2 linked regions of the Xenopus tropicalis genome follow. The protein of the gene in region 2 interacts with the protein of the main gene of each other region in a pairwise test. Links are inferred from orthologs where the notes say so. Each region holds a gene or a part of one and is shown on either strand. Other genes may lie near its edges.

Evidence for each region.
Region 1: the proteins of fbxo7 (region 2) and psma3 interact in binary tests that used the Homo sapiens proteins (3 or more experiments, as listed by UniProt). The two-hybrid records come from large-scale screens. The link is inferred for Xenopus tropicalis from reciprocal best matches to the Homo sapiens genes FBXO7 and PSMA3.

What each region holds. Positions count from the first base shown.
Region 1 is NC_030684.2:103,574,130-103,579,157, forward strand, and holds part of psma3 (proteasome subunit alpha type-3), read right to left. Parts: intron 4,986-5,028; coding exon 4,884-4,985; intron 4,775-4,883; coding exon 4,701-4,774; intron 2,779-4,700; coding exon 2,706-2,778; intron 1,691-2,705; coding exon 1,625-1,690; intron 1-1,624. UniProt on the Homo sapiens protein: Component of the 20S core proteasome complex involved in the proteolytic degradation of most intracellular proteins. This complex plays numerous essential roles within the cell by associating with different regulatory particles.
Region 2 is NC_030679.2:7,492,012-7,496,600, forward strand, and holds part of fbxo7 (F-box only protein 7), read right to left. Parts: intron 3,467-4,589; 5' UTR 3,448-3,466; coding exon 3,326-3,447; intron 3,250-3,325; coding exon 2,976-3,249; intron 2,303-2,975; coding exon 2,087-2,302; intron 2,009-2,086; coding exon 1,867-2,008; intron 1,391-1,866; coding exon 1,307-1,390; intron 114-1,306; coding exon 18-113; intron 1-17. UniProt on the Homo sapiens protein: Substrate recognition component of a SCF (SKP1-CUL1-F-box protein) E3 ubiquitin-protein ligase complex which mediates the ubiquitination and subsequent proteasomal degradation of target proteins and plays a role in several biological processes such as cell cycle, cell proliferation, or maintenance of chromosome stability.

The DNA of each region.
Region 1 (5,028 bases), on a different chromosome or scaffold from region 2:
GAGCAGTGTTTGCTTCCCCGTCTGTTCAGCCCACGACAAAATACAGATCAGTGCCACAGGTTATGGAAAAAAAAAAAAAATAACAGAACCTAGCTTAACACTCAGTACAAACACCAGGGTTTTGCAACACAATTCTGTGTGTGTCCACAACCACAAAAAGTCTATACACACCGTGACATCACTTCCAGTTGTGGCAGTGAGTGGATGCACTCTCTTTGTACTGCAAAGCTTTATTACCATGATCTGCGTCATAACACTGAAGAAAGGGATTGTTTGATATGCAGTGTGACTTATGCAACTGCAATAAGTTTTATAATCTTTTTAAAAATAAAGGCTAATTACACTAGGAGCGCTGCCCCTGCTTTTTAATGTTTTTTGCAGAGAAAAGGAGTACCCTGAAGTTGGTACTGATATGGTGTTTTGAAATCAGGAATCTTGTAAATTGCTAATCCCACAGGAGAGTGGAGAAGCTGCATGCTAAGATTTGTTGTTTGGAGAGAGCACTGTAGCACTTTATTATATTTTTTTGAAAAAAGCACTATAGCACCTTGTTTTGTATCATTACAAAACAAAGGAAGCACAATAACACTTTGCAATAATCAGTACAGCACTTTAAAACACACAAACTTAAAACACAGACTTTCTATGATTCTGGACACACACAATTGTGTTGCAACATCCTGGTGTTTGTACTGAGTGTTAACAATATTGCGCTAGGTTCTGTTATTTGGTTTTTTTTTCCCATAGCCTGTGGCACTGATCTGTATTTTGTCTAGAGTTTGTGATCCAGTGGAGGAAATGCGAAGCAGATCGGCAAAGCTACTAGCTACCGAAATTGCAGTATTTATTTTAGTTACAATAAAGGAGAACAAAACACCCTTAAAAAGGTTTATGTAAAATTGCTCATAGTGGTCTTTTACAGATTATAGTTTTTTTTTTGATCTGTTGTGTTTTCTTGAAATTAGCAGTTTTATGGCGATTATCATGTTTTCTCCCCAGCAGTGCTGAGCTGCTATTCTGGCTGCCAGGGGGCTAACGGTGGCCATACACTTTAAGATCCCTTCTCCCGATATCCCCACCTACAGGTGGGCGATATTGGGCGAATGTAGGCTAATTCAGTCGTTTGGCCTTGGGGCCAAACGATCAAATGATAGTGATGCTTATGGGCAGTGTCGGTTCGGGGACCGCATCAATGAGCCGTTGCAGTCCGCGATCGGACTACAATTTTTAACCTGCCCGATTGATATCTGGCTGATTTCAGGTGGCCGTTTAGGCCACCTTTAGGCATAATATCTAGAGGCATTGTCTGCATCAGTGGCTTATCTGTATTAAAAAAAAAAAAAAAAAGATATATATTTATATAAAGATATATATATGAATAAAAGATATAAATGACTACAGTGCTCACATTACATTTTGGGTGAGGGGTTATTAGGGTGAAATGCTGCTTAATTACCAAATTGAAGCCATTTGTTCGACACTTTGTTTTCCTCTTACATTCTCTTATATTGGCTGTGTGTGGCACTATGCTTATAGAAGTAAGTACCGTAGGGGTTCTAGCATAGCAGACACAACAGCAATTAAATCTAGCAGGACACTATATCTGATTGGGTAAAAATCCTACCTGAAGCTTTTCAATCTCTGTCTTAGCAGCCTGCTTGGCCTTACCAATTGCGCAACCCCAGTAGCCCTGAAATACACAAAAAACAAGAGATTTTTAATTTGTTTAAATACGATGTAACATTTTCTTACATGGTACATATCAAACAGAATATGTTGCTGTTGCAAAATGTACCTACAGTTTTGCTGTAAATATATGTCTCATTTTACCTAAACTAATGATATATAGTTTCAGGGCCTTGGTGGTTTATTTCTGGCTAAAGAAAACAAACTTTCTTTAGAACACAATTAATGGATGAAATTTCACCCAGTGACAGACCAAATACATCTTTAGATACAAAGACTTTGATCTGTGATTTTCTATTTCTAATATAAGTAACTATAAACCTCTCCCTGCTGGAAGGGAACCAGCTGATGGCAAGCAGGAAGACTTGTCTTACTATTCTTCATAAAAGTTTTTCAAATTCCATTCCATTTCCTGCAATGAGATTATTTCTCTATCCCATAATACTGCCTGCATTTTGTCACTTAAGGCAAAGTCTATTTTTATATTAAAGTCAGGGTATACACCCCCAACAAACATAAAATTGCTATTCTAAGCACTTTTAAAGTTTACATTCATTTTCTTTTCTAAAACTCTAAACATTTACATATATGTATATATTCTGTACTGCACATAAAACATTGCTTGAAGTGTGAAAACACTGGCTTCATTCATATATTTTGAAATCATAACTACAGGTACGGGACCTGTTCAGAATGGGACTGGGGAAAAGGGATCCTTCTGTAATTTGGATCTCTATACCTTAAGTCTGTAAAATATAATTTAAACATTAAATAACCTCAATAGGATTGTTTTGCCTCAAATAAGGATTAATTATATCTTAGTTGGGATGAAGTACTGTTTTATTATTACAGAGAAATTGTAAAAAATATGAATTATTTGATTTAAATGGAGGCTATAGGAGATGGTCTTCCGGTTATTTGGAGCTTTCTGTGTAAATAGGTTTCCAGATAACAGATCCCATACTTGTATTACTAACCATGATCAACAAACTGAAAAACTTCACATGCCTATAACTTACGTAGGAGATGCCTGATGGATCAACCATGTACAACTGAGCACCATCATCTTCATTATAAGATCCCAACATAAAACTGCACAATAAAAACAAATAACAGACAAAACATAAATATTACCAGTAGTCTCATAATTATAGCCAAAAAAACCCTATTACTATTAATAATATAAAGCAAGTTTTCATAAATGAATACTTTGGATAGCTGATATTTTATTTGACTTTTCCTTTGTTCTACACTCCCTGCTCTGCACAGAAGAAAGAAGCTCCTTATAGCCTAATACTATATTAGCCCAGTATGAAAATTGCAGAGCTGTAGTATCTTGCCTCAAGTAACTACCGCATATACTCGAGTATAAGCCGATCTGAATATAAGCCGAGGTACCTAATTTTACCTAAGAAAACTGGAAAAACGTATTGACTCAAGTATAAGCCTAGGGTGGGAAATGCAGCAGCTACTGCTAAGTTTCAATAATCAAAATAAATACCAATAAAATTACATTAATTGAGGCATCAGTGGGGTATGTTTTTAAATATTTATTTCAAAGAAAAACAGTAAGTTAGCTCTGTAAGTGGAGAAGAGGGTCAACAAAAACAATATGGTATCAACAATGATAACTTAAGAGTACTACACCCCTTAGCTCAATCCTTCAACACTGTATATAGTTTATATAGAATATAAAGTGCCATGCCTAGTGCAGAATGGGACAGGTGAGGATAGTGAATTTGGGTGCAGGCCAGGGCACTGGAGGATCTTGTTGCGGGTGGCTTAATTTGCACACAAAGGACAGAGGGGGCTAGTCTAGAGAGACCCATGGCATCTGACTCGAGTATAAGCCGAGGGTGACTTTTTCAGCACATTTTGGGTGCTGAAAAACTAGGCTTATACTCGAGTATATACAGTACTTAAAAAGCAGAACATTGACTTCTAACAGCATAAAAACATTTCAATGATTACTAGAGTTTCAAAACATTCTTCCCCACAGAAGCAGTGCTAGTTTTCCCTTAACATTATTTTTAGTTTACAGTAATCATGTACCTAAAGGAGAATGAATATATGAAAGCAATACGTCAGTGCGGCACTTAACGGAAAAGTATGTTTGTCAGTGAATTTTTTTTTTATGATGATTACCAGCCTGGAGTAGGAATAAAAGCTGGCCATACCCTGCTAGATGCATTCGTTTGGTGGAGGTTGCTGAACAAGTGGATCTGGGCCTAAGAGCCACCCATGTGCTGGGACAAATCAGGCTGATCCTAGTGCTAACAATGTTGATTTGTGGCCAGATATCAGCCAGGATGGCAGTTCTTATTGGCCTGTATACAGCTGGCTTAACAGACTGTAATTAAATGGGTGTTTAACAACTTGACAACCCCACCCTAGTGATTCTACCTACAATCTCCTGTAAGGCCACTGCCCCACAGGGCATGGCTTGCATTTATCTCAGAATTACCCCTATACTAGCATCAGCCCTCTCATGTGTGGATTTTGGTGCCAAAACGCAGAAGTATCAGAGCTGAAATCTGCACAATTTCTAAGCACCCAGACCAACACAGTGGCTCCAGAAGCTAACACATAAGAAGGCTGGTAGCATAGGGGTAGCATCACCTGTGTGGACCTGTGTTTATCAACCCTGTGTTGCAGTAGCCTAAAGAAACATTATTCTTGTCAAACAAGAATGAAAACAACCTTAAACAGCTGATGGTGTCTAGTGCATTTTTCTACTTCATTCTATGTAGTCTGTTATCCCTCATTACATACAGACTCAAATACTGACAACAGTCTGGAAACATGCCAATGTTATTCATTCACAGCAAACTCACATTGTATATTTCTCATTTTATTGGAGCAATAACAGAATATTTATATACTATAATAATACAGAGAATTTAAGTGGAAAAAGTCAAGCTAAACAATGAGGCAGGATAGCTCCTATATTGAACATTTGGATACACAATTAGTGTGCTTATAAAACGATAAAAGGGATCATGTATTAATCATACCTGCATCCAAACGGTCGGACCGCACTGTACAGTGTGTATGCATGCACATACATGGCTACTCTGTCTGAAAGATGCTGAAATACGACATGAGGAAAACAAACGGAAACATAAATTACTTTTAACAGTTAGCAATTACATTAAAAAAAAAACAAGGAGTTACTAATAAGGAAAAAAAAAAAGTACCTTTAAAGGAATGTCATAACCATAGTTTGCCCGGAAATTTGAGGCTTCTTCCCGTGCAATATCAGCTAAAGACCGTGCATCTGCCAGAAGACCTGCCACTGCCTACAAAACCAATATATATACATATATATATGCAGAGTAATGT
Region 2 (4,589 bases):
CCGGGGCGGACTGTTACCTTGCCGGGCAGCAGCAAGCAGAGGGTAGGCCACCTGGTCTTTAAACTGCCCCGATAACTTCTGCAGATCCTTATACACAGAGGCAATGTTGTTATCTGTGGGGGGAACATGAAGATGCTGAATCCTACTACCCCCTACTGTAAATGATAAGGATATTAGCAGTCACTGAGGGGTTCTGTGCCCCCCATATAAAGGCACAAGGCTGCAGGCTGAGTTATACAGGGAACTCTGAGTATCACTCATGTATTATAAGGGATAATGTACCCCCTACTGTAAATGATAAGGATATTAGCAGTCACTGAGGGGTTCTGTGCCCCCCATATAAAGGCACAAGGCTGCAGGCTGAGTTATACAGGGAACTCTGAGTATCACTCATGTATTATAAGGGATAATGTACCCCCTACTGTAAATGATAAGGATATTAGCAGTCACTGAGGGGTTCTGTGCCCCCCATATAAAGGCACAAGGCTGCAGGCTGAGTTATACAGGGAACTCTGAGTATCACTCATGTATTATAAGGGATAATGTACCCCCTACTGTAAATGATAAGGATATTAGCAGTCACTGAGGGGTTCTGTGCCCCCCATATAAAGGCACAAGGCTGCAGGCTGAGTTATACAGGGAACTCTGAGTATCACTCATGTATTATAAGGGATAATGTACCCCCTACTGTAAATGATAAGGATATTAGCAGTCACTGAGGGGTTCTGTGACCCCCATATAAAGGCACAAGGCTGCAGGCTGAGTTATACAGGGAACTCTGAGTATCACTCATGTATTATAAGGGATAATGTACCCCCTACTGTAAATGATAAGGATATTAGCAGTCACTGAGGGGTTCTGTGCCCCCCATATAAAGGCACAAGGCTGCAGGCTGAGTTATACAGGGAACTCTGAGTATCACTCATGTATTATAAGGGATAATGTACCCCCTACTGTAAATGATAAGGATATTAGCAGTCACTGAGGGGTTCTGTGCCCATATAAAGGCACAACACCAAAGGCCGAGTGCTTTTATACAGATCATGGAACGGAATATAAGGTGACTATTTTACAACAGGGGGTACCTTATTTATTATAACACATCATGTGATACAGATGACATCACTGAGCACCAATTATAACTGATGACATCACAGAGCACCATTTAAAAGGATATCGTTTACAGAAAACGCATGGCTCTTGTGTTTAGACATAAACTTCTGATCCCGGCTCTTCATCCGTTAACCCTTTCCTGACAATTTTTTTGGCCCCCGCACCCCCTTTACCGGCGGAATCTGCCCCGTACCTGTCTCGGGGTAGGAAATGTAGGAATTGGTCGACAGCTGAAGTTTCCGCACACTTTTCATCTCGCTGTTAATCTTCAGGGTGGCTGCACGTGCAAAAGAGGAGAAATGAGGATGGCGGCAGCCATATTGCAACAAGATGTGAGCCTATGCTGTCGGCCAGGGGTCCTCAAACTGTGGCCCACGGGCCGGTTCCAGCCCCCTGGGGTAGGTGGTGGTCTGGCCCCCCCATTGCTTAAGAAGTTTGAGGACCCCTGCTGTAGGCAATGAATACAAACAGGAAGAGCAACTGTCACCCTAGAATTCAGAGTTTATAGGTGCTATGGGTGACCTGGTGTCACATGGTTCCTATAAACAGAATGGGGGGGGGGAATATACCAGAGCAATGAGAAGGAGCTTTAATACAAGGCTGCAATGCAATGCATGTACACTAGGTGGGGCACTAACTCTTTAACATGCTCCTGTGCCACACACACAGCAGGGGGCAGTACAGACAGCAGATGAAGGCAGGGGGCTGGCAGACTGGGAGGAAGAGGAAGGATAAAGTACAAGTAATACTCACCATTGATTATGACCAGCTTGCCCATCGGCAAACAAGCCAAGGTGGCCGAGACTTCAGCGCACAGAGGGTGAGTGTAGTGCAGCCTGTAGGCCCCCCCGCTGCGCCAATCCTGCGGCATACACAGCACCTTGCTTTCAGCACCCTGGGGGGGGACAAGGAAGGGTTACCGACCCACCAATCACAGATCCCTGGGATGGGGGGGGCCATATTGACTCCCTACCTTCTGTAAGTAGCCAGTCTCCAGCATCAGTAGGTGGATGGCGACTATGAACGCGTCGCTGGCGCCGGTGCAGCCGGCAGTTTGGTACAGAACCTCCAGGGAGTGGGGGATTTTCCCATCTAGTGCCTCGCTGCAGAGCATCACCTCCCAGGCCGGGCCCGACATCCCATCCTCCATGGCCACGTCCTCCGCTGAGGGAGGGGCTTGCTGGGCAGCCTGGCAGCAAAACCAATGGGCATTAGATAAGCCTGTCCGTCTCTAGCCCCATGGCTACTGCCCCATGGCTACTGCCCCATGGCTACTGCCCCATGGCTACGGCCCCATGTCTCCTGCCCCATGTCTCCGGCCCCACGTCTCCTGCCCCACGTCTCCAGCCCCACGTCTCCAGCCCCACGTCTCCTGCCCCACGTCTCCTGCCCCACGTCTCCTGCCCCACGTCTCCTGCCCCACGTCTCCTGCCCCACGTCTCCTGCCCCACGTCTCCTGCCCCACGTCTCCTGCCCCACGTCTCCAGCCCCACGTCTCCAGCCCCACGTCTCCTGCCCCACGTCTCCTGCCCACGTCTCCTGCCCCACGTCTCCTGCCCCACGTCTCCGGCCCCACGTCTCCTGCCCCACGTCTCCTGCCCCACGTCTCCAGCCCCATGTCTCATGCCCCATGTCTCATGCCCCTTGTCTCCTGCCCCATGTCTCATGCCCCTTGTCTCCTGCCCCATGTCTCCGGCCCCATGTCTCATGCCCCTTGTCTCCTGCCCCATGTCTCCGGCCCCATGTCTCATGCCCCATGTCTCATGCCCCATGGCTACTGAGTAGAGAATTATTTCACCCATCCCTACTACTGAGTAAACCAGGAATACCAGTACTACCAGTAGTATCTCAGCACACATTACCTGAGCCATGGCTTGGGCTCCTGTGCTATCATCTGACTGGCTCTTGGGCCTCTTGTTAGTCGAGCTGCAGGGTTGGCTGGGATCCACCAGGGGGCAGCCAAGATCCCGCTTATCGGGGGCCGGAGCAGGAGCTGGCTGCGGCGGGGGCAGCTGAGAGTCCGGCAGTACCACAACAATCAGATCCCCGGAGATGATCCCCGCAGACTCCAGAGTGTTCTGATCCCCAGTCAGGGCATCTTTGCCATTCAGTGTGATGGTGAAATTTGCCTCAGTGCTGCAAAGGAAGGATATAATAATTAAAGGGTAAGTGTCCCTGCTGTATGTCTGTTCCCAGGGGGGCAGCGCATTACCTGTAGCCCAGAGCCGGCAGGGTGACGGAGGATAATTTACTGCGCAAGTCTCCCAGGGTCGGACTCTCCGCCTCCAGCTCTAAGCGATTGGTCTGCTTCCTCACTCTCACCCTCAGCTTCATTCTTATTGGCTGCGCGTCCCTGAGGGAAGAGAAAGGCTTCAGTAAAGGAACACGAGCGGCTTCTGATTGGCTATCGCTTCAGGCAACACATATTGTATTATTATCCTTTATTCATATAGCGCCGACATATTCTGCATCATTCCCATCAGTCCCTGCCCCAGTGAGCTTACAATCTAAGGTCCCTATCCCATTCCCATCAGTCCCTGCCCCAGTGAGCTTACAATCTAAGGTCCCTATCACATTCCCTTCAGTCCCTGCCCCAGTGAGCTTACAATCTAAGGTCCCTATCCCATTCCCATCAGTCCCTGCCCCAGTGAGCTTACAATCTAAGGTCCCTATCCCATTCCCATCAGCCCCTGCCCCAGTGAGCTTACAATCTAAGGTCCCTATCCCATTCCCATCAGTCCCTGCCCCAGTGAGCTTACAATCTAAGGTCCTTATCCCATTCCCATCAGTCCCTGCCCCAGTGAGCTTACAATCTAAGGTCCCTATCCCATTCCCATCAGCCCCTGCCCCAGTGAGCTTACAATCTAAGGTCCCTATCCCATTCCCATCAGTCCCTGCCCCAGTGAGCTTACAATCTAAGGTCCTTATCCCATTCCCATCAGCCCCTGCCCCAGTGAGCTTACAATCTAAGGTCCCTATCCCATTCCCATCAGCCCCTGCCCCAGTGAGCTTACAATCTAAGGTCCCTATCACATTCCCATCAGCCCCTGCCCCAGTGAGCTTACAATCTAAGGTCCCTATCCCATTCCATCAGCCCCTGCCCCAGTGAGCTTACAATCTAAGGTCCCTATCCCATTCCCATCAGTCCCTGCCCCAGTGAGCTTACAATCTAAGGTCCCTATCCCATTCCCATCAGTCCCTGCCCCAGTGAGCTTACAATCTAAGGTCCCTATCCCATTCCCATCAGCCCCTGCCCCAGTGAGCTTACAATCTAAGGTCCCTATCCCATTCCCATCAGCCCCTGCCCCAGTGAGCTTACAATCTAAGGTCCCTATCCCATTCCCATCAGCCCCTGCCCCAGTGAGCTTACAATCATCTAAGGTCCCTATCCCATTCCCATCAGCCCCTGCCCCAGCGAGCTTACAATCTAAGGTCCCTATCCATTCCCATCAGCCCCTGCCCCAGTGAGCTTACAA